Linked DNA regions of Rattus norvegicus. The protein of the gene in region 2 purifies or fractionates together with the protein of the main gene of each other region. This does not show direct contact. Links are inferred from orthologs where the notes say so. Each region holds a gene or a part of one and is shown on either strand. Other genes may lie near its edges. The genes, in order: Amotl2, Nf2 and Amotl1.

Region 1 (8,123 bases), on a different chromosome or scaffold from region 2:
AAACTTACAAATACTCTTAAGTCCCTGAAGGAAGAGGGTGAGGGGGCGGCTGCCATCCAGAAGCCCCCCTCTCTAGAGTCTTCACCTCTTTAAACACTTCAAAGTACTCTCATAAGTATCCTTCCTTTTTACCTACAAGTCTGCCATTTCCCCTCAGTGTCTGAGACCTCCTCCTGCGGCCTCCATGCTTCGGCTGGTCCCAGAAAATCTGGGGTCACTAGGGCCTTCCTAATCTCAAACCTCCAGCTCAAGAACACTTTTCCCCTGTACCTGTTAAGCTCATCTCACCTCCCTGCCATTTTCTGGATGAATTCCTACCCTGTGCTGGCCAGGTGCTTAGCTCAGCTCAACTAATGAAGCTCCCGGGATGCCTGGAAAGATATACTTATTATATATATAAGAGTTCACTGTAGCTGTCTTCAGACAACATCAGGAGAAGGCATCCAGATCTCATTACAGATGGTTGTAAACCACCGTGTGGTTGCTGGGAATTGAACTCAGGACCTCTGGAAGAGCAGTCAGTGGCTCTTAACCACTGAGCCATCTCTCCAGCCCGGACCTCATTATTTTAAAGAGAAACTTTATGAATGCCTCCTTTAGACCGGAGCTGTTGACCAAACCCATTTGCGGCTACCCTAAGGACGCTCTGCCAGCTCAACCATCCCCTGTAGCTTCTTGTGTCCCCAGCCTTTCTGTTGCCTGGAATTGCTAGGAAACTCTGAAGAACCAGCACTGTCCTCCATTTAACTATAGCCAGGACTGTCATGGCCTCCCTACAGAAGGGACTAATGCTGTACTGAGAGTCCCTACTGTGTGGCTCAGCCAGTTACTGTTCCCTAGTCCCCATCCAACTTTGGAAACCACCCCTTCCCACAGCAGCCATTCAGCAAAACTGTTCCTGAAGTACCACTCTGCCAGGAAGCGGGTTAAACCTCAAGGGGAAGGGAGTGGTCGTGGCAGTGGGGTCACGTCATAGTGGCCTCATGGCCTGTACACCCACCCAGGTTTCTCAAATGGTCCCCTACTCACTCTGAGCAAGCAGTTTAGCCACCATGTCCTGACTGCCCGCCTGGGCTTCCTGGGTCTTGCTTGCCAGGTGGCGGTTTGCGGACTCCAATCTCTCTGTTTCAAATAAGGAGAAAAGAGGTTTTTAACACCCAGGGATGCTGTTAGCCTGGACTTTAATCTTGGCCCTAACTGTATGCTCACACCCTCTAAGCTGGGGAGATGGGATTATAAGGAAGTCCCAGCTCAGATCAGAGCCCAATGATGAGGGCTAATGTAGGCCTCAATAGTGTAGAATTGAATTTCCTCCCTAAAACAGAGCCCCGCCCCAAAGTCTGACAGATGATGTCCTCCCAACGTCCCCAACCCATGAGCCCAGTTCTCACCTCTAAGGTCTCGGTTAAAGTCCTGTAACCGTCTCATTTCACTGTCCATCTTGTTCCTCATGGTCTTCTCCAGGGCCTCACGCTTGGACGAGGTCCTCATCAGGCTCTCATGGGCCTCTGAGAGCCGCTGGATTTCATTTTCCAGCTGTAAGAGAAAGACAATAAATTCACTGTCAGGAAGGGTCCCAGGGAGGGAGGCCAGTGGATCTAGTGAGATTACCACAGGACTGCAGCCTCTTAGGTAGGCCAGACTACTGCCTGGACCCTGGGCTAGATGTTCTTCAAGGGTGGTATGGTACCTCCAGCCTGCCCCGTGCCTAGTGTTTACCAAGGACCAGGGATGAGGATATAGGTGGTTCAGCCTATTCAGAATGCTGTAGATAGATGGTAAGTGGAAGGCCTGAGGCTATTGCTAAAGTTGAGCCTTAGTACACAATTGGCTAGGCTTCCCCCGAGGAAGTGGGGGTGCCAGACCCCAGCCTGAGCTGCCTCTGCCCAGAGCATGTGGCTGCCCCTCCCACTTGGAAGCCACAGGTCTTCCACGTGCTCCTAGCTGGCTTGCTTTGCCAACACGTTGCTTTTTCTTCTCCCTAAGAGGAGGGGCTTTCTCTTTGGCCAGAGCTGGCCTGGAACAGACTGGCTGTTGTGTGGGTGCACAAAGGGCTCTCTGTGGGAGGTGTCCACAGGGGGGGCTGTGCAGGGCGAGGGTACAAGTGTGCAGTGAGCTAGTGAATGAGTTCTTTCTAACCACCACTGGCCAGCAACTGCTCATGCAACAGGGCAGGCCTCTTGGCTGTTCCTCAGCTGTCTGGAGTCAGCTTGGGGTGTGTGTGTGTGTGTGTGTGTGTGTGTGTGTGTGTGTGTGTGTGCATGTGCTGCAGAAGGCAGCCTGATAGGCTTCCCTGCTCCTCTGCCTCCCTCTGCACTGCCCACACAGGAGTGCCTTCGGGAGTCCCCACCTTTTCTATGCAGCTGGCCTTCTCTGAAGTGCTCTCCAGCTCTCTCTGCAACCGCTCATTGTCCCTCTGCAGCCTGGCGTTCTCCCTCAGCACGCTCTCCATCTGGGCCAGGTGGGCACTGCCCGAAGTGGCCTGGGCACCGGGTGGTCCCTCCAGGGCAGGTGGACTGAAGGAACTTGGGGGACCATGGCCTAGAGCGGCTGGATGGAGGGGTGGGGAGTGCTCCTGGGGTTGCTGCAGGTACTGGTACTGTTGCTGCTGGAGGAAAACCGGTGGTACCTGTGCCTGCAGGATCCTGGAAGAGAAGAGGTGATCGGAGCTCAGAGATGGACACACAGACAGACACACACTCACTGGCTATTATTGCCGATGATTGAGCCTCCCCGGCTTTAGGGAGCTACTATAGGGAGAGCCTGTGCCACAAGGTTATGTGCCTAAGATTCGAAGAGTTAGAGAGTGGGACCCGTGTGCAGGGTGCTGCATCCTGACGTTCGTTCTGTTCACAGCTGCCTTAGGGATCAGCCCAAGCCATCCTAGTTGTCCCAAGCAAATACAGCTTAAACATTATCTTTAAAAACGCACCCTTGACCTTTTGAATTGATAGAAGGTTCTTTGGGGATGGGAGCCACACAAAATCCCAGGTATGGGGTGTGGGGGTAAAGGGATTCGGGCAGGTAAGCCAAGTCAGCTAAAGCAGCACACCTGAGTTTTCCCCTCTCTGTTTCAGGGTCCTGCTACCCCCAACTACTAAAACTCTTTTCAAAGACCCCCCAGCTAAGGTGACAGCAGAGAATCAGAAGAGCTCAGTCTCACAAACGGGGACAGATTTCAGCTCCCGCTGCTGCTAGGCCTTCAGCAAACCAGTGCTGTGTCTGCCAAGTGTCACCTGTGTCTGCTAAATCACGAGGAGCCACAGAAGCTGGGCTTGACACCAGTGACAGCAGGTTCGCCCATGACTGTCTAGACTCCATCTCTGTAGGTGAGCAACTCAGTTTATGAAGAACAAGGGGCCACCTCTGGATTAGCTCAACAGCGGAGCTCAGGACTGCGTTCTACCGGCCCTTGGCCATGAGTGTAACACATCCTCATGCTCTAATAGAGAACAGAGTGAGGCACAGGTAGTCACAGGGCCTTTCTGGGGCCTTGTAACCCTAAGAGTCACAACCGCCTTCTCAGTTATACTAAGAATTTTCCAGAAGCCTCTTGGAAGTTGGATTTCACTTCTGGGCCAACCCCCCCCAACCCCCCCCCACCCCCCCCAACTCCCAGTGTTCAAAAATCGTCCCTGTAGCCTATGGCTCCCCTGTTCTTTGAGCCCCTGACTCAGTCCCTAACAAATAAATACTCCTCATCTGGTGAGCCAAGGAAAAAGCCTGCATGTGCTTTTTCCTACCAGCTCCAGGGAGAGCAGGGTAGAGAGCGCCACTGGCCTGGCTAAACTCTCCCTTGCTGCCAAGTGTGGTCACTCTCAGGGTGGCCTCAGAAAACTGTTGTCCCCCTCCACCCTTCCCTGCCCCCCACAGGCCAGGCAGACACAACTGACATTCTTCAAGAATGATTTAGCCCCAGAGAAGAATAGCGACTCCTTTCCGTTGTTCACACTCACTCCTGGTTCTTCATTTCCCACTGCCCTCCTCCCTGTCTTTTTGTTCTCCTGCAAACAGCCCACTTCCTTGCCTGGATATTATCTTTTCCTGGCAGGGTTCAAGAGGGCTGGTCCAAAAGAAGAAACTCTTCCTGACCGGCCCTGAGGTGGGAGGCGAGGTGGGGATCCAGGAGGCTGGAGTAAACCCACGAGGGCCCAGGGCCACCACTCTCTTCAATTGGTGGGAAAACCAATTGGTGGGAAATAGAGGGACCAAATGAGGACTCAGCAAGGGCAAAGTGAGCCAGACACTGACCTTGAACCCAGAGGATCTCCAGGTTAGGTTCCCTGGAGCCCCACCTCACCCCACCTCCAGGGAGATACAGCAGCAGTGCCTGTTTCTCTGGAAAAGGCGCAGGGGCCAGCTAAGATGACTAAGGTGGCCCCTCATTTCTAGGAACCTGGACTCCGGCAGTGATCTAGCTTCCTGCTTGCTCTCGTTGGTCTCCCACCTCTATGACCCATTCTCTAAGGCTGATATTGATATCTCTTATAAGAGTTGATCAGCACGCACACACACACACACACACACACACACACCCAAGACTTCACATTCAGTCAAGCCAAGTCACTACCCTGGGTTAACAGCATTCTGAGCCTCCACCAAAAAACAAACAAACAAACAAACAAACCAAAACCACTCACTCACCTAGGCCCACAATGACAAGCACAAGGGACACCCTAATAAGTAATTAACTGGCAGACAAGGCAGAACTGTACAGAAGTGGCTTAGCGAGCCACCTAGTTCTTTCAGCCTCATTAGCAACACATCCCAATGACTGACGACAACAACCAAAAATGCCCACTTTTTCTTAAAAACCTTCCAGAAGTTCCACCTTTGGCCTACTTAACTCGGAGCAGTTTGGTAAGGGTTCCCATTGTCTTTAATTAGTCCTTTCTTTAAAAGAAAAAAAAACTCTCACCTTTGAACCCCCCTTCACATCCCCTGGGACCCTCCCCTCCTTATTTGAATGCTATAGACAATGCCATCTATATTCTGAGTTAAAACAATGATGTCAGTTTCTTTTTGTTTTAGACAGTCTTGCTACTTAGCCCAGGATGGTGGTCAACTTGTGATCTTCCTGCCTCACCTAAATATTTCAGGCATGTGCTTCCATAACTGGATCAGCTAAGTCCTCCCATCCCTCCAGCCACCAGCCCTCCCTTCTCAAGACAAAAGAGAGTAGATTGGGGTTGGGGATTTAGCTCAGTGGTAGAGCGCTTACCTAGGAAGCGCAAGGCCCTGGGTTCGGTCCCCAGCTCCGAAGGAAAAAAAAAAAAGAGAGTAGATTTACATCAGACAGCCCCAGGAGCTGATGGGGGTGCCCTGGGATCGGGATCATGACATGAAAGTTGAGATCCTCGACATGTATGATATTGGGGTTCTCCTCCTGGGACACTGAACTAGAAGAAACCCAAGGTTACCTGACTTCAGCATGCTGGAAGTGTGGGCTGCTTCTCGGACGGTATCTTGGGTCATTGACAGCCGCAGTCTCCTGAGCCATTACAGCGTGTGGGTACTGAGGTGGTGGCCCACGGGGCTCCGGGCCCTCAGCTGGGGGTCCTCGGGGCTGGGGACCTTGCTGGCTGCGGGCCAGCTGAGGGAAACTGTGGGAAGAGCTCATGTGGCTGGGGACCCGGGCACCATTTCTTTCCAGGGACAGCTGCAGAAGTCGTTCACTCAAGGAGCGCACATGGCCGTGCCTCAACTCTCGAAGAGCCTCATCCTGACGTCGGCTGCCTCCTGAGGCCCCTCTAGGATCCCGGTCCCCACCATGCAGCCGGGAGCCTGCCTGCTGCGCTGCATAGTACTGCGAATGGGCTTTGGCTTCCTCATAGGTGGGCAGCTCTTCTCCCTTGCTGGGCTGTGGGCAGAGTCGGTACAGCCTGTTCTCTGCCAGGTGGGTCTCTCCACCCTGATGCTCCTGGCCCTGGGGCTCCTGCCTGGTGGCCTGCTGTAGCACCTGACTGTCCTCGGGTGCTCCGATCTCCAGGGAGGCCTGGGGGCTCCCTGTGCCCCCAGCTCCAGCCCCACCCCGCAGGGCCTGCTGCTGGATGGCCAACAGAGTGCGAGTCTCTGTCAGGTTGCCGTAGCGCAGCTGCTCCTGGATGAGGCGGTGCAGGACTGTCCCTGAGGAGTCTTCCAGTGTCCTCATGCTTCTCTGGCTTGCACACACCTGCCTAGACAATGGCCAGCAGGCACCTGGTCTCAGAGCACCTAACAGACAGAAAGAATAGCAGTCAGTGGAAGCACATACAAAGGAGGGAGGGGCACTTGCCAAAACACTCTGGATGAAGGAGAAGGTGAGATAGTTGGGTGGTTTTACACAGGCCCAGATCCAAGTGCCAATATGGCCATCAATTGATTAAGTTTAGTTACTGAGCTTCTGATCTTAGTCTGCCGTGTGTGTGTGTGTGTGTGTGTGTGTGTGTGTGTGTGTGTGTGCCTCTTGGGAGTTGAAATGTAAGAGGTAGAACGCCTGGCATGCTATAAATCCTTGGCAAATGCTTACCATTCTAAGGACATGTATGGAGACCACAGAAATACAACAGAAAACCTGAAGGTTATCTAATAATCACACTCGCCTACAATCAGCCACTACCCCCAAACGCTCTCACGAGTGACCCCAGGACAGGTGTCCATCAAATTCAACCACTTAAGCAGTAGGACCTCAGTTTACTCGCAGAGTGGCCAAAGACAGAATGTAGCCCAGTAGAAAGAAGCCCTAAGCAAATGACTCCATTGACTGTTTCGAATGAGGAGGCTTGAGCCACCATAGTCCACCACCCTCCACTGGCTTCTCTTCCAGGAGTCGGACCCTGGGCTGCAGATAAAATAAATCCTTGTCACAGATGACCTTCGCAGTCACTCTGCAAGGTGAGCAGCCTGAGAAGCTGCATGTGAACTGGTGAGGCAGAGGTGTGACTGCAGTAATTGAGCCAGCAAAATATTGATCCTCCTCCTCCTTTCTTCACACACACACACATACAAACTTAGAAAAGCCTCTACTTGTACCCTAGAGGTACACAGGGGATGACCCTCTGTATCTCTGTTGATATTAGTAACGACCACCTATGCCAGTTGATGGGGTAATGAGGTGAGGGGGAAGACGAAGGAAGGGCTCGTGGGGATGTGGCCCCTTTCTCTTCCGTGCTATCCCCAGTGTGCAGCCCCACTTTGGGAATGATGTGTTGGCAGAGCCCTGAATGGTATGTTGGTAATGAGCCCCGAGGGCACCCAAGCCGGCAACTAATACCCCCACCCCCACCCCAGCTGCACCCTACAATGTGTAAGACTTGAGACTGTTCGCACGCAGCTTTTTCTACGCGGCATTTCCTACGTTAATCACTGTCTGGGCTGACTCCCGCTAAGGAGGATCCGGGAGCGGCTAGAAGGAATGCAAAGCCTTCCCGACAGATTCCAGGCGCGCCAACTATGAGCCAGGCTCCCCGGGAGCACGGAACATTTCCGAGGCCTCTCATCACACACACGTCCCAATCTAATCCCCTAGATGCACAATCTTTCAAATTCTTAGGGTTGAGCAATTTCTAAAAATCAGCTTCCTTACTCGGACGTTGTACCTGGGCTGCTCTGGAACACTGCACTCGGAAAACCAGCTACCTTTCTAAGCAAACATGCTTCTCTGGCCTTGGCTCGGGCTCCCTCCAGCAAAAAGAACCAACGCTAGTCTCTAAGTCAGCCAGACCAGGGTTCCCGCGTTTCCCACCTCCACCGAGGTGGACCACTAGCACTGGTGGTTGCCCGAGTGCCCCGGGCAAGCAAAACCCACACCCGCGAGAGGTCTTTAAGCATCGCGGGTCCGCCTCTCTCCCTAACCCTCTTTGTTTTCCAAATACTTCAGCGCTGACGTCACCGGACTGGACAGCAGGCTGCATTCTTTCTAAGTGAGAGCCAGTTCGTGGCTCCGGAGAGGATTTTCCAAGGAAGACAAAGAGGAATTCTTGATCTAGCTGACGGTAAAAGCCACCTGTATCCCCAATCTAGACAAAGCAATCACGGTGACCCCGTATTCGGCGAGATATGCCTACAGCAGCTATTCACTTGCCCCGTACGAGACGCACACTCCCAAACACTGATCCTCTGTCCTTCCTCCAGCCCCAGTGGGT
Region 2 (8,123 bases):
TACAAGATGGTGCTGGGGATCAAACCCAGAGCCTTGCTGCAAGGCAGTTATATTCCACTGAGCATCTCCCTGTCTTCCTACTCATTGATTTTTAAAGAAATGTGTTATTAATTACTACTACTACTACTACTATTACTACTACTACTACTATTACTACTATTATTTTGTTTTTAGAGACAGTGTTTCTCTGTGTAACAGCCCTGGCTGTCCAGGAAGCTCACTCTTTGACTATGCTGGCCTTGAACTCACAGAGACTCACCTGCCCTTGTTTCCTGAGTGCTAGGATTAAAGGCATGCGCCACCATGCCCAGCTTAAAGGAATTGTTGGACTTCATGCCAGGCAAAGATAGAGCAAACAGAGATGCAGAAAGTGAAGTATTAGCTCTCAAGGAAGTCTGGTTCAGAATGACTTGACTGCTCTAGTGCGTAAGTGCAGTGTGGGCTGTGAGATGGCCCAGCGAGTAAAGGTGCTTGAGACCCTCATGTTGGAAAAGAGGATGAAGTCCTACAGGTTGTACTCTGATCTTCACAGGTGGGCCGGGGAAGGTGCCTTCTCCTTCCATAAATAAATGAGTGAAGTGGAAGGGCTGGTAATGTGGTTGCTCTAGTTCTGTATGTGCTAGCCCTGGCTGTCTGATCAAGTCCTCAGAATTAACTTACTGTAAAGGCAGGGATACATTCAGTATCCATGTCACCAGAAAACAGATACACTGAGATCTTGTGTCTGATGAGGGAAGTGACGAGGACTGGGAGCTAAGGTGCCTGATGCCAGAGCTCCTGCTTATCAGAGTGGCCCAGAGTCTGGACCCTAAGAACGCAAGACACCAGGCAGGAGGCAGGCCTAGACAGTGAATAACAGGTATGGTTTATGTTGCCTGCTTTTGGTTTGGTTTGGTTTGGTTTGGTCCCCCCCTGACTCTCTTGACAGAGTTTTGCTGCATGACCTCTTGTCTCAGTTTTAAACGTTGGGGTTACAGGTGTGCATCATCACACCAAATTCAAAATGAACTGGCTTGTTTTACATTTATTTATTTACTTACTGGAGGAAGGGGTGTAGCATGTGCCAGGGTGGTTGTGTAGAGGTCAGGGGACAACTTGTTAGGAGTCTTTTTCTCTCCTTATATTATGTAGGTCACAGAGATGAAACTCAGTTTTGAAGGATTGGTGACACTCACCTTAACCAGCTGAGCCATTTGCCAGGCCAGTTGCATTTCTTAATCCTAGCATTCTGGCTGTGGTTTTTATAACTGGTTGTCCTGGGACGTGAGCCTTAGGTAGCTCTCCTCTTCAAGTTCTTAAATTGGAAACTCCACATGACTTAACATAGTGGGCGTGTCACAGTGGAACTGTTGCTTTACCCCTCAATTTCACAAAGGCTGTTCACTACACATCACATATATTTGCACATTAAATTTTCAAATATGTGTTTTTCAGAGAGCACAAGGATTAAGGTCCCCTGGTATGACCTGACACAACAAACTAATGTGCCCTCTCTAGGGGTAAGAGACCATCATGTTCCATCACATCAGTTCCTTATGTGGCAAGCAGACCCCAAGCTACCTTGGCATGCCATAATAGGAAATAGTTTTGGGAGTCTCTATGGCAGTCGTCCTGCTAAAACAGAAGTGTTGGTTCATTTTGATTCTTCTGTATGGTCTGGTGTGAAAAACAGAGCCTGGGGTTTCCCTACTACTTGTGTCTTCTTACTGACAGCTCTAGGGTTCTGTAGCAAGGCTAGAAATAAGCTTATGAAATTCATAAATAATACTCCATACCAGAGGAATACTATGACTAAATTAACTTGACCCAAACCCAAACTAAGGACTTTCTTTCTTTCTTTCTTTCTTTCTTTCTTTCTTTCTTTCTCTCTTTCTCTCTTTCTCTCTTTCTCTCTTTCTCTCTTTCTCTCTTTCTCTCTTTCTCTCTTTCTTTCTTTCTTTCTTTCTCTCTCTCTTTCTCTCTCTCTCTTTCTCTCTTTCTTTCTTTCTTTATTTATTTATCTTATTTATTTTTGGTCCTATGTGTGCTCATTTCTCGTTGGACAATATAAGCATGTAAAGAAATACCTTCCCTGTGAGTTTATTTGCTAAGCAACTCATTCTTTTTGTTTTGTTTTTCATTTTATATTTTGTGGTCCTTAGGATGGAAGCCACATACAGGCAAGAGCTGTACCTCTGGGTTAGTCTTTTTTTCCCTGCTTTGCTGGGGTGGCCATAAAATTCTTTCTTGGGAATGTGTCTGCACTTTTACAATGTTTGTAGCATATGCTAATTGTATAAAGTAATGGGTGTCATTATGACGTTTTCATATGTGCATATAAAGTACTTTGATCTAGATAGCTTGTTTCGTTTTGTTTTTGATGTGAGTCTTGCTATGTATTCCTGACTGACCTGGAAATCTATATAGAACAGTCTCGCTTTGAACTTGTGATCTTCCTCCCTATGCCTTCTACCAGTATGACAGGTATGTGTTACCATATCCAGCTTAGAGACACCTTCCAGGGACATCCCTGGAGTCGAGGATCATTCTGGTCTCCTCAGTGGTTGGAGTAGCAGTCGCTGAGTTTGTGTTTCAGTTTCCCTTGCTACATTGTCACTTGCTTTTCATCTTGATTTCAGAAACTACGCATTTCTCTTTTAGAGCAACCCCTTTTCTTCACACTATTCCTTCCCTTACATCTTTGACCACTGACCATGTTCAGAAATTACAGGAACTTGCTATATCGTGTCACATCCATTTTAAGCCCTCTGACTTTTTTTATTCTTCACCACCCATCAGCCTTCCTGTTTAAGCCTGCCGTATCATTGCAATTACTAAAAAGCTAATAAGGTTAACATCCCTGCTCCTTCCCTCTCACCGCCGCCGCCTCCTCCTCCCCCTCCCCCCCTTACTTTTCAGTGCTAGAGACTGAATTTATTTATTTGTCCTGTCTAGAATGCCCCTCCTTTGTATCTTTGCTATTCTGCCATATACTTCTAAGACCTGCCATTTGGACTAGGTGAGCTCCAAACCTATGAGATATTTGTGACATGTCCTACCAATGAGACACTAATATATGGTGTTCTCATACTAATATATTGAGTATATTGTTGGATTAAGCCCTACTGGACTGTGAGCTTTCTGAAGGCAGGGAGCTTTGCAGGGTGGCCTCCAGAGCAGGCCCATCCTGGGTTCTAACTGCAGGACTCCACTGACCTTTCCTCACAGCTGCCCAAGGTGGTCAGGTTATCAACTTCTGCAGCCCCAAACTTGGTACCCTGTGCTCCTCTAACTCATCCAGGCCTTATTCCTAGCACCAAGAAGCTAGGACCAGAGGCTGTGTGGTTGCTACTTTTGTGGATTTTTAGTTGGTGTCACAAGAAACTGTACTCTTTTCTTTCAGTTTACTATTAAACCACTGGATAAGAAAATTGATGTCTTTAAATTTAACTCTTCAAAGCTTCGTGTTAATAAGCTGGTAAGTTGAAACCCTGGTTTTCATGACAGAATTAACTTTTCTGAGAAATTGAGTGTGTGTGTGTGTGTGTGTGTGTGTGTGTGTGTGTGTGTGTGTAATTTTGCCCTTTTTTAAAAAGCCTCTCTACCAGGGATCTATCTGGCCCTAGTTTCTCTTGCTAAGAGATGTAAAACGATATTTGACCTAGTAAATACTTTTCTCTTTAGTTTAACCTACAGAGTTAACAAGTTAACTTTTTTTTTTTTTTTTTTTTTTTTTTTTGGTGTGTGAGGGGGCGGGAATGGAGATAGACTCTATGCTTTCCTCGTGCTCAGAAACATTCTACCACTGAGGTATATCTCAGCCCTCCACTTGCCATATTGATTTGCATTTTATAATTTCTAATGAAGTTAAATCTATAATCTGTTGACTAAATCTAATTTCCTGTTTAAATTCTTGTCTCATGTCTTGGCCATTTTCCTCTTGGGTTGGTTGGTTGTTTTCTTTATTAATTATTATCATCTTTATTAATTATTATCACCTTTATTAATTATTATCATCTTTCCTTGTAAGGTTCATCTTCCTTCTATATGATGTCATAACAAGTAAATTTTACCTTTCCTGTCAACACTTTAAAAACCTCTGTCATTTGTTCCTCTGTATTTATTTTTTATTTGAAATCTTTCCTTTTTCAGATTAAAAAAACAAAACAAAACTCTATCTTCAAATCTTTCAAAGTTACCTTTGAAACTGGAATCAGCTTTTGACATGAGGGAGAAGGCCCAAATATTTCTTTCCGCATGAATAGCCTTTGACCCCACCCAACTTTTTGGTTGGTCTTTCTGTCCTCTTGATTTGCCTTGCCATACCTTGGCTTAGGAGACTGTGGTATGTATGTGGGTGACTAATGGTGGCTTCTCCCACTTGAGATCTTTACTCCTGGATTCCCTGAGGCACTTGTATATGTTTCCAGAGAGCACTGGAAGCGTCAGCAAGGCTTTTGTGTTTTATTCCACTTTTGGTCTTCCCCAGGTTTACAAAGCCAGGATGCTATGACATTGTGGGCTGGGAGGCAGCCAAGTAAATTTACATGCTTAATATGTTTTTATTTCCTTGGCCACAGATTCTTCAGCTGTGTATTGGGAACCATGACCTATTTATGAGGAGAAGGAAAGCTGACTCTTTAGAAGTTCAGCAGATGAAAGCCCAGGCCAGGGAAGAGAAGGCAAGAAAACAGGTGAGAAGGTCTTGGTTGTCTCACTTGGTTTGTGTATGTGTGTCTATGTGCTCTTGATTTGGAGACCACAGGTCAGCCTGGGGTATCATTTCTCAAGAGCCATCTACTTTGTCTTTTGAGGCAGTGTGTCTCAGTAGACCAGGGACTCAGTGATAAATTTAAGCCAGCAAGCCTAGGATTCTGTCCGTCTCTACCTCCCCAGTATGCTGCCATGCCTGGCCTTTTTCCTGGGTGCTAGGGATCAAACCCATGTTTGCCTAGCAAGAGCTTTCTTAACTGAGATTTCTTCCAGTCTGTAGTTAGTTTGTTTGTGTGGGACACATTCTTGCTATATAGTTCTGACTGGCCATGTACACTCTGGCATTTAGTCAGGCCTCAAACTCGAGACAGTTTTCTTGCCTCAGCCTCTAATTCAGGGATCACTGACATGTGCCATCATGCCCAGCTCAGGTATGACTTTAGGGCAAACACGGTGGCAAGCTTGGCGTTGTGCATTTGATACCTGAAGGCCCTCGAAAGATGGAACAAGAATTAACTCGACAGAATTGTCCCCTGACATCCACCCCTGTGCCATAGGACATGCGCCACACATGCTTTCTCATACACATGACAATAAAGCAATACCTTGCTTTAGGGGTTGGGGATTTAGCTCAGTGGTAGAGCGCTTGTCTAGCAAGCTCAAGGGCCTGGGTTCGGTCCCCAGCTCTGAAAAAAAGAAAAAAGAAAAAGAAAAAAAAAAAAAAACCAAAACAAAACAAAAAAAAAAAACCTTGCTTTAATTGATATTGCTTTTGGTTGGTCTTGGCCTACAAGGTAAGGGATGGCTGTTGCCAGCTAGACTCTTTCTTTTCTTTTTTTCGGATCTGGGGACCGAACCCAGGGCCTTGCACTTGCTAGGCAAACGCTCTACCACTGAGCCAAATCCCCAACCCCGTTCCGGCTAGACTCTTATGGTTATAGATGTACCTGCTCTTATTACATTGCTAATGCCTGGATAGTGGGATGTCAGCTATAGAAACAAGCATGTGGGCTGTTAAGATGGCTCAGTGGGTAAAGGTTTGCTACCAAATCTGACAACCTGAGTTTAATACTCAGAGTGAGGTAGAAGGAGAAAACTGACTTCTACAAGTTGTCCTCTGACTGCCACATGCATACTTACATATACAAATAAATAAACATAATAAAAAGTTTAAGGGAAATTCATACTAAGTTCTAATTTTAACATATCTTAACATAATTTTAACATATCTTTTAAAAAAAAAACCAAGAACATTTCTGTACTTCAAGTGTGATCATAGACTGGGAGTCAGGCGTGGTTTTGTCTCTGTCTGTCTAGCTGTCTTTATTGTGGGTCTCCTCTGCCAGGTCAGTGCCCTTTCTAATTAGATGGTGATAGAATACAGGGCAGCATTTCAGTGTGTGCTGTGGAATGCTAATTAGGCTCTCAGCTGCAGTCTTCACTGCAGGTCAACCTGGGTACACGTGGCTGGCCCTCCGAAGGGGGTGCTGTAGCACCTATCCGCAGACTCTCAGGCCTTCTCTGCTCACTGACATCCACAGCTGAATTGAGCCTTCCTGCTGCGAATATCAATTGTGCTTGGGATGAACTGTTTGATAGAGTAGCTGCAGCTGCGCTTGGTCCCCCTCAGGACTTGAGTGCTCAGAGGTGTAATAATTAGTCTGTGTGGTATTCTCTGATTTGGGAGCCACAGAGAGGCTGGCTCCAAGCCCCAGGCTTTATAGAGAAATGCCCAATTTGAGCCAGTGAGCTGTGAGCTTGCCCTCTGTTTGTTGTCTGGGAGAGTAGGCCATCAGTTTGCTCTTTAGGGTGCTTTAAGAGTGATGGTGTAGGTTCTGTTGATCAAAAATGTGCTACTGAGCTACCATGGGGTGTAGTGATGACTTAAGAAGCATGCTCTTGGGGGCCCGAGAGAAGGCTCAAGGGTTAAGAGCACTGTCTGCACTTCTTTTTTTTTTTTTTTCTGGAGCTGGGGACAGAACCCAGGCAGGGCCTTGCACTTGCTAGGCAAGCGCTCTACAACTGAGCTAAATCCCCAGCCCCCTAGCTGCACTTCCAGAGGTCCTGAGTTCAATTCCCAACAACCACATGGTGGCTCACAACCATCTGTAATGAGATCTGATGCCCTCTTCTGGTGTGTCTGAAGACAGCTACAGTGTACTCATATATAATAAATAAATCTTAAAAGAAGATTGACTTGACTCTTAAGTAGAGAAAAGTTTAGAAATTAAACTCTAAAGGTATCAAGGGGAATGATGACCCCTGAACCCTAGCAGAGCATAGTGCAAATGCCACCTGACAGAACTTGGTGACCTTGCAGCTATATCTGTCATTTTGTATATGACTCAGTTTCCCTATCTGTCAAGTGAAGCTAGTGATGCCTCTTTCCAGAGGACAGATTGCACCCAGAAATCCTCTAAGTCATAACGTGCTTTAAAAACAGGAAGTCCTTTATTATTAGTGTTAAGGCTTCATGAAAAGTACAAGGCTGGGAACTGGGGACAGCCTGGTCCTTTTTTTTTTTTTTCTTTCCCAAAAGGAGAATGGAAATTGTATTTTAGTGGAAATTGAAGAACAGGTTGCCAACCTGTTCACTGAGGTCAAGAGGAAAATCAAAGAACTTTATTGCTTGTCTGTTTTGCATTCTTTCAATTAAAATGTGCTGAGGGGCTTCATATTTAGAAAGGGCAACCTTGTAGAAGTAGAGTTTGGTGAGATTGAAGCACAAAGGAGTAATTAAACATGATTTAGTTATCTAAGGCAGAAAATAGTACATTGGTCACTTCTGGCTTCTGCTTTCTGAACTCAGTGTCCTGGAGTCACAGGGAACTGTGCTGTCTTTAGTCTTGGTCCTCTTATTAAGCTTGGCAAGTGGCCCAATTAACACTGTGATCCAGAAGGCTAGGGGTGGCAGTAGAGACATTGTACTGTTTCCCCGAGGATGGATCTGTGTTCCTGTCTGAGTTGCCTCTACATGGGGCTGTACAAGACTGTGCAAAGCCACTGCAGCTTCCTGCTGGGACATTCTGTGTGGGAACTGTCATTCTCTGTAAGCAGAGGGAGAAATGGTGGCATTGTGGACAAAATCGTGTGTGGGGACTAGAAAAGTCAAGGTGTGGCTCATCTGAAGAGAGGAGAGACCCTTCTGGGCCCTTGTTTTCCAGAGGAGGCACCTGTATGGAGAATAACTGACGCTCACGGGGCAAAGCTATACAAGGGTTCCCAGACAACAGAGCACTGCAAGGGCAGGTTATATCCTGTGCAAGAGTGCACTTTTCTCTACATATGGTGACTGAGTTTGGATTTTGTTATTTGTATTTCTACTGGAATTTATTTGTACAGCTTTAAATTCTGCAGTTAGTTTAGGACAGAGGGCAGCAGGCAACAAGAATGGCCTAAAGTGAACACAAGAAAGGTCCAAGGTAATGAAG
Region 3 (8,123 bases), on a different chromosome or scaffold from region 2:
GGCATAGGTTGGTGAGCAGCCTTGATGATACAAGAAGTAGGGATTTTTGTGAATAAATATTGTTTTCCCGAGATACTGTCTCTCTTGTTTGTTTAGCATTTCTTTATTTAAGAGTTCACATGGCTATAATGAATTTTTATCTTAGCCATCCCTCCTTCTAAGTCCCTCCCCTTGCCATAATCCTCTCTTGAATTCATGTCCTCTCTCTGTGTTATGTGTGTTTCTTTGTCTCTCCCTCTCTCCCCCTCTCTCTGTGTATCTCTATCTCTCCCTGTCTCTCTGTCTCTGTCTCTCTCTGTGTATCTCTGTTATCTCTCTGTGTATTTCTGTCTCTCCCAGTTCTCTCTCTCTCTCTCTCTCTCTCTCTCTCTCTCTCTCTCTCTCTCTCCACTAACTAGCCCTACTTCCTCAGCTAAGCACGGTATCTTGTGAAGTCTCCCCCTCCCCGTCCATGCTAGAATGGTGACTGGCTTGCACGGGTCTTGTGCAGACAGCCATAGCTTTGGAGGGTTCCTGGGTGTCACTTGGCTGACGACACGAGCTCGCAGCTGTCCTCCCGTCCTCCATCCAGCTCTTTCCATCTCTGCCCCATTTTCCACGATGCTCCCTGAGATCGCTCTCTGCATCCACTCATTCCCTGTACTCCGTGTAACAATCTGCCTGCTGCAGAAAGCGGTGTGTCTGGTGCAGGTTAAAGCTGCAGTAAGCAGGAGTGTTGGTGAGTGCAGCCCTTAGAGTCTTAATTCTTTAAGTTTGGAGAGAAAATTGAGCCAAGATTTGGGGTGAGCTGCCAGATGGGGGCTTTTCTGGGACACTTTGCAGCTGCTGCCCCTGATTCACATTTCCTGAGATGTTTGCAGGAGTTCCCATCCTGGAGACACTGACCCTGAGGTAGGGTCCTGGAGGTGGAGGAGGGCCTTTGATGTCCTCTAGAAGGTAAAGCGCATCTGTTACCAAGCAAATGCTGCTCTCTCCGTTCTACTTGTGTTTGCATTGAAGACCAAGGAAAGGGGGCTCTAGAGTCAAAGTGTGTCTCGTTTCCTAGGGACACTACCATCAGCAACCACTCAAGGAATGGCAGCTATGGTGAGAGCTCCCTGGAGGCCCACATCTGGCCAGAGGAAGAGGAGGTGGTGCAGGCCAACAGGCGGTGTCAGGACATGGAGTACACGTAAGATACCCACATAAGATGCCAGCTCTGAGTGGATACCAGCAGGTGCTGGACTCCCATGCCAGGCCCTCCTCACTCTCCTACTTTCCTTGGTTCTAACTGGCATGAGCTTAAGGGCTTCAAAGCCTCCTGCTCTGGAGAGGGGAAAGGTGAAGACGGAGGCTGTCTAATAACTGGAGTCTCCATCAGTCCCTGAAAGTTCTGGGCGGTTTTGCCCTACCTCCACAATCCTATGAGCTGAGAATGAAACAGAAATACCATCCCCAAGGTCTAGAGATTGGGGGCCAGAGTTACCTATTCCCACCAAAGATAAAGAGCTCTAACCAGCCAGCATGTGCTCCCCTGACGGATGGACAGTGTCCAGCAGGAGTTGTGATGTCACTGGAATGCCTGAGGCTCCCATGGGCTGATATGAAGAAAGGGCTTCCCAACGGAACCAGAAATAGGTTCAGCAAGTATCTGTGAGTTGTGGAAAGACCCCCGGCTTTCTGCTTCTCATCTTTGGCCATCGGTGGGGAAGCCATCTTCTCTCCTAGAACCCAGCCATTTCTTCACTTTTCCTTCCCCATAGACATTTCCCTGCAGTCACAGTTTACCTCGTGTGGGACCAGAGCTTCTGCTTCCCTGGTGTTCACACCTCCACTCTTTACCCCCAAATGTGAGCCACAGGTGTCCTTAGTTTAGTCCTCAGAGTTCCTAGCAGATGGCTCCTGTCCTTCTCACAGGCCCCTGGGTCTCCCCCATCTGCTGAGGTGCCAGGGAAGGTGCACTGTTTGATCTACTTTGGGAAGCACAGCTTGGGAAAGTTGCAGACCGCCTCTGCCACTCTCAACCCCATATCCCAGAATTACTGTGAAAGTCCCTGAGACAAGTGTTGCAGAGTTTTCTATCTAACTGGCATTTTAATCACACCTTTGTTCTTCCATGGTTTGGTTTTACAGTATTAAAAACCTCCATGCCAAAATCATAGAGAAGGATGCCATGATAAAAGTCCTGCAGCAGCGATCCCGTAAGGATGCTGGGAAGACTGACTCTTCCAGTCTGCGGCCTGCCCGCTCTGTCCCATCCATTGCTGCGGCCACCGGGACACATTCCCGTCAGACTTCACTGACCAGCGGCCAGCTGGCAGAAGACAAGAAGGAAGAGAAGACCTGGAAGGGGAGTATAGGTGAGAAGAGGACCCCGTAGAAAAGAGCATATAGAGCGGCACCTACAGAAGCCCTGAATTGGCCGCCTTATCACTGCTGGATCTTGGGGTGTCATCTTTTGTCAATTTATGCATTCTTCAAAGGGGGAGGAAAGCCAGCCATGTGGGGTTGTGAGGGTTAAATGAGATACACAGGAGAGCTTTGGATTCCAAAGGCTATGTGAGCTCTTGGGCATGGATTGATTCTTGTCAATATAATTAACAAGAAAAACATAAAGTGTCTCAGCAGGATAAGCCTAGAGTCCCTCAGAATCCTGGACCATCTCTGTAACTTCCCATGATGTGTTCTATACCTGTGGAACATGAAAGGGGTCAGGGTCAAGGATGAGGGTCAGCCTGTGTTGTGTATGTGGGATGTTGAGAATTCTCCAGCAGGGGTCTTAGCACAGACATGCTTGTTCACAGGCTGGGCCAGTGAGCTTGGAAAGGAAGCTTCCAAGACCACCTCTCCCCTCGCCCTGCCTGCCAGTGTCTGTCCCTTCTTACACCTGTCCCCTGCTCAGCACACATTTTCATTTCTCTCTATACCCGGAGTCAATGTTCTCCAGCACAGGGCCTCCGTGGTGTCTGGCTGATTTATTCCACAGGGTATAAGGGCTTCCGTATGAACCCACAGAGTAGGGGGATCAAAGACTCTCAACCAGAATCTCATCTGTTTGATGTCCCTCTATTGGTGACCCCAATAACCTTAGCTCATCAGAGAGGATCTACAGGGATGGGAACTGTGATTATTAAAGCCCATCACACGGACAGTGAGGCAGGTTTGGTTGAGGAGTCTAAATTTGTTCAGTTCTGCCAGAAACTGCTCTAGGAGAAATCTGTGTGATGATTCAGGTACACATCACGGTGCCTGGGCTTCTCTCTCAACATTTAGCAGGTCAGTACAAGGCCAGAGAGTTGAGGCCTAAGGAAGACTGGCCATATTGTCTGCACCAGACTACCTCCTTGTCAATGTGACTGGGGCCCTCACATCAGTCATAGAGACAAGAGGGGATCTGGGGTTCGGGTGGAAACCACCCTCACAGGCTTCTGCATAGGACCTTAGGGTTTCCCATTTCACCCATGATGGGCCTGAAGAGCTGATGAGGACCATGGTGTCTACCTTCCTAATTGCTGAGCAGCTCCCAGGAGCACTTGTCCATCCCTTCTCTTCCCCTACTACTAGATGACTGCGTCTCACTCCGGAGTTTCGCCGGGCATCAATAAGATGGGATTCAGGGCAGCAAAAGGCCCTTTTTCCTTCCGAGCTACCCCACCGGTCAAATATGGTTTTCCATTGTTTGAATTTAGAATGCAAATACCAACTCCATACAGAATTTAGTTATATGGACTTGATACATAATACTTCACTTCATCAAGAATGCACACAAGTACTTAAGGGTTTAATGGATATATCATTGAGTAAATAAAGTTATCCCTGATCTAGGAAGAAAAGGGTAAGTGTTCTTACAAAAGGACTTGAGAGAAAACATTATCCTTGAAAAGCTGCTTCTTCTGCCTTCAGGATTCCTGCTGGGGAAGGAGCACCAGGGACAGGCTTCTGCCCCTCTGCTGCCAGCCACACCTGCCTCTGCACTGTCCCCGCCGACCTCCACCACATCAGCCAGCAGCACCCACGCCAAGACAGGCAGCAAGGACAGCAGCACGCAGACCGACAAGATCACTGAGCTCTTCTGGCCCAGCATGGCTTCCCTCCCGAGCCGCGGCAGGCTCAGCACCGCCCCTTCCAACAGCCCCGTCCTGAAACATCCAGCTGCCAAAGGAACCGTGGAGAAACAGGGTATGTGGCCCCTATCTCTCCCGTGCCTAGAGAGATCAGGAAGTCCAGTCAACCCCCGTGTTCAGTGGTGGTCATCACCTCAGGTCGTGTGTTCTTTGTTGCATGGGACTAAGGTGTATCCCCAGGGGATAGGTAGAACAGACATAAGAAGTAATTTGAGGGAGGAAGGATTTGCTCATGGTTTGAGGGACAATCCATCCGTCAAAGTAGCAGTGACTGAAGTAGGAGGCACTTGCTCACATCTGGGCAGACAGGAAATGGGGGGAGTCAGGTCTGCAGCTGGCTTTCTCCTTAGTTTTTACTCAGTCCAGAACCCTAAGACACCGTCTTCTCTGGGCGCTGCCTCCAGTCATTGTGCACTTCCCACCAAGAGATTCGCATAGCCTCCACCGGGGTGTATGAGATTCTTGGGCAAGGTGTGACGTTAGAAATGGTTCCACCATAAAAATTCCCCGTAAACCAAGGTACCCACTGAGTAACAGGTTTCTGATATCTGTCCTCTGTCTGGCAGAGAACTCTCCTGGGCACGGGAAGTCATCAGAACACAGAGGCCGAGTCAGCAGCTTGTTGCAGAAGCCTGAGTTCCCGGATGGAGAGATAATGGAAGTGCTCATCTAACCGTCGTCCTGTGGAGTGTGGTGCCAGCATGCTGACAGACGCACTAGAGGCTGCAAGAAGAGAGAAGATCCAGATGGTCAGTTGCAGTAGCAACTGCAAAACCAGGACAGCTGTGGACACCGTGTCACAGTGTTACCAACGCAGCTGGCTCGTGTCACAGTGTTACCAACGCAGCTGGCTCGTGTCACAGTGTTACCAACGCAGCTGGCTCACTTGTCTGCAGAGGGAGTGAAAGAGAACGCATGCAGGCTGAGAAGCAGAGTTGAGGAGGAGTGGAATTTTCCATTGTAGAGAAATTGTATGTTTTGGGGAGGTTCCATGCTTCCCCGTTCTTGGCTGATAAACAGATGAAGAAAAGCCAGCCTTTCCTTGGAATGACCTTCTTCCCTTTGTCTCTTAGCAGGTTTGGTTTAAGAAGAATCTTGGCATAATGTAGTGTGTGTGTGTGTGTGTGTGTGTGTGTGTGTGTGTGTGTGTGTGTGTGTGTGTGTCCTTAGCAGATACATCCAGGATAATGGGGGATTCCACAGGCAAGTTTTGTCACCTTCTTGGCTGTTTTCATTTGTGGTTTGTGGTTTCAGAGAGTGTGAGGCTTTGCTTGTCTGGATTGAATGGTATTTTCTGAGCAGGATGGGAGAGAGATGCCCTTGGCCCTCATCCGCCCTGACTTCTTTGAACTTATCTGTCTTGTCTCTACTTATTATTTTGTTGTAATTTTTTTCTGTTTAATTAGACATAGCAGAGTTCCTTACGTATGGGACTTAGGAGACTACCATCCATGCTGTGGTGTCCAATTGGACAGAGCCTCCTGTTGACACCCCGGCTGCTTCCCCACACCTCTGCTTAGCCAAACTGCAGCTGTCAATCTTACTGTGAGCTAGGGAAACTTGGATGAGGAGTCCATGAGTCGATAGATAGGGTAACATCGTGCCCTGATGTGCCTCTCATTCACATCCGCTCTCTTGCAAGGAACTTGACAGTCACACCCCAATGCCCTGTAGGAAGGCTTCCTTGTGAGCAGGCACCACAGGAACCCCATGATGGCTTATGCAGAGCTCTCTGGGTGGCTGCGAGATCTCACAGGCATCCCCCAGCCACTTTCTGTATCGGAAGCTCTCAGTTCTGTTCATTGCTCCCTCTGGCCTCCTTCTGCCCTGGCTCCTGTTGATGAGCACAGTGCCGTCCCTGATCAGTTCTTTCTTCCTGTGAATTTGCTTCGTAGCCCATCAGGCTGGTAGACTGGCAGCACGGTCAGTGTCACCCGAGGGACAGGACTTCCCTGAAGTGAAGCAGCAATGTCATGGAAGCGAACCCCTGTGAGCGAGAGACAGGCCCCGAGGCTGCTGCCACAAGGTCTCATGTTCATTGCTGGGGACACTAGCTTCCTACAAACCCCAGGAGACGCTGCCCATAGCACGGGTGGCCCTTCAGGCTCCTGAACTATCTATCCCCAGATCAGTAGGATTTGTTTTCCAAGTCCCCTTCCTCATTCCTTCTTTGCTCAAGAGAAAAAAGAAAAGTGGTAACTCTGTGACTCTAAGTCCCTCTTAAATGCAGCGCTGAATCTAGCTTGGCTCGGAGATCTCTGACTTGTCCCTAGGGTGAGACTGTGGCCTCCCCAGGTTGAGGTGGCACGTGTATTGTGAGAGATTAGCCTGGAGAGCAGAGAAGAGGGGGAGGGGGGATAGGGAGGAGAGAGCAATCGTGTCTCCCTACAGGACCCTGGGCCATCTGACAAGACAGAGGAGGTGGGACTGGCTTCCCCATGCTGCACATGGCAGTGGGAACCAGGCTTGGAGTCCCCCACCCCCTCCTTAACCTCTTCTCTCAGACCTTGTAGCCCTAGCTTGCCCTGTGCTCTGCAGGGAAGGGGATGAGAGGACAGCATAAGAAGTCTTGCCAGTTGAGGTGGGGCTGGAAGATGAAGCAGGTGGGTGTAGGAATCATTTTGGATAGGGCATGTTGTTTGGTTGACGGCAACTAATTCTCTTAAGAGCATATTGTCTCCAGTTAATGTTGGAGACAACCCAGAAAGGGAAGGGTATAGAGATGGGTAATTAATGAGATATTCCAGCCCTGGAGCAATGTCTGAGCCACCCCAAACTTAGGCTGTCTCCCAGCATAGGAGTGGGGCACTGCCCCTTACTCAAATTCTAGTCTAAGTGTTCCAGACACATTGTACACTTGGACAGGAAATCTCCTGTTCCAGCATACCCTCTCCCCCATACCCTCTCCCCCATACCCCCTCCCCCATACCTTCTCCCCCATACTGTTAGTACGTTTCAGTTGTTCAAAAGCAAAGGGGGCGCAGACTAGGCTTTAACTGCATGTGGAGTGTAGATTTTGCCTAAGAATCCATGTTGAAGAAGAGAGAGGCTATGTCTTTAAGGTCGAGGCCCTTCAGTCTTCTGTCCTTGTAATTCTCTTGAAGCGTGAGCCCCAGGCACTCAGAAGCCATGTTGTACTCCGGGAAGTTCATGGGACCTGAACTCCTTCAACACCGGGAACAACAGTACTGCATAGGTACTTTGGTACTGACTGTGCAAGCACTAGAAAAAGTACCCGTTGAATGGCCCTCACAGCATCAGGGAAACGAGGCCGAGTTCACTCTCCTGATTGCTCAGATGCAGAAGCTGGACCCGTGAGGTGTACCAGCCCACCTCCAAGCTTGACACAGAGGCTAGCACTTAAAGCAAAGACTCAGAAGAGGAGTCTCAGTCACAGGCTGCACAGCCTTGAACATGATATCTAGAACTATGCCTGGGTGATCGGTGGCCCAACTTGTGACACTTGTGTGCACATAGGGAAGCTGACGCTCCTCTCGGGGCCTGAAAACAGGACTAAACCCAAACCCCATATAACTAACCATACCACTGCCATCCACAGGCGTGGATGGAAGTCTTCACGGTCTGTTACAAGCACAAGTACAAAGCCGATAAAAATAAGTCAAAGCCCTTCCTCGTGGTGCAGAGGGCTCCTCCTCAGATCTCTTGGAGCCTTTGATCATAGAGCTTGACGGTCTCCTCTCGGGATAAAGGACAGGTAAAGGCTGTGGCCTTCAGCGGTGACTGCCCCACACCCTGCTTTCCTTAGGGGTGGAGACAAGGAATGGTGGGGCCAGTGTTGTTCAGAGAGAAGTCTCTCTTTGGAGCCCATGTATGGGGCTTGACCTTTTGCTGTGAGTGCATTTAGAGGCAAGTGAATTCTGGCCTCAGTACAGAGAACCCAGCGGTTTCAGCACTCAAGAAAGAAGCCGCAGTGTCCCCTACAGAGAGGCTCTGTCCTGCTTGGCCCCAGCCACCTGCGCCACACATTTAATAAAGTGGCTGAAACTCCTCCTTTCCAAG

What was found.
Region 1: the proteins of Nf2 (region 2) and Amotl2 purify together in Homo sapiens (affinity purification with mass spectrometry; 5 studies listed by BioGRID and IntAct, with this or other methods). This does not show direct contact. The link is inferred for Rattus norvegicus from reciprocal best matches to the Homo sapiens genes NF2 and AMOTL2.
Region 3: the proteins of Nf2 (region 2) and Amotl1 purify together in Homo sapiens (affinity purification with mass spectrometry; 6 studies listed by BioGRID and IntAct, counting the BioPlex papers as one, with this or other methods). This does not show direct contact. The link is inferred for Rattus norvegicus from reciprocal best matches to the Homo sapiens genes NF2 and AMOTL1.

What each region holds. Positions count from the first base shown.
Region 1 is NC_086026.1:112,182,938-112,191,060, reverse strand, and holds part of Amotl2 (angiomotin-like protein 2), read right to left. Parts: exon of another isoform or gene 7,578-8,123; intron 6,214-7,577; coding exon of another isoform or gene 6,152-6,213; coding exon 5,421-6,151; intron 2,646-5,420; coding exon 2,351-2,645; intron 1,537-2,350; coding exon 1,392-1,536; intron 1,123-1,391; coding exon 1,030-1,122; intron 1-1,029. UniProt on the Homo sapiens protein: Regulates the translocation of phosphorylated SRC to peripheral cell-matrix adhesion sites. Required for proper architecture of actin filaments.
Region 2 is NC_086032.1:83,875,737-83,883,859, reverse strand, and holds part of Nf2 (merlin), read left to right. Parts: intron 1-3,382; coding exon 3,383-3,457; intron 3,458-4,559; coding exon 4,560-4,673; intron 4,674-8,123. UniProt on the Homo sapiens protein: Probable regulator of the Hippo/SWH (Sav/Wts/Hpo) signaling pathway, a signaling pathway that plays a pivotal role in tumor suppression by restricting proliferation and promoting apoptosis.
Region 3 is NC_086026.1:19,632,164-19,640,286, reverse strand, and holds part of Amotl1 (angiomotin-like protein 1), read left to right. Parts: intron 1-1,045; coding exon 1,046-1,171; intron 1,172-2,112; coding exon 2,113-2,339; intron 2,340-3,882; coding exon 3,883-4,158; intron 4,159-4,669; coding exon 4,670-4,776; 3' UTR 4,777-8,123. UniProt on the Homo sapiens protein: Inhibits the Wnt/beta-catenin signaling pathway, probably by recruiting CTNNB1 to recycling endosomes and hence preventing its translocation to the nucleus.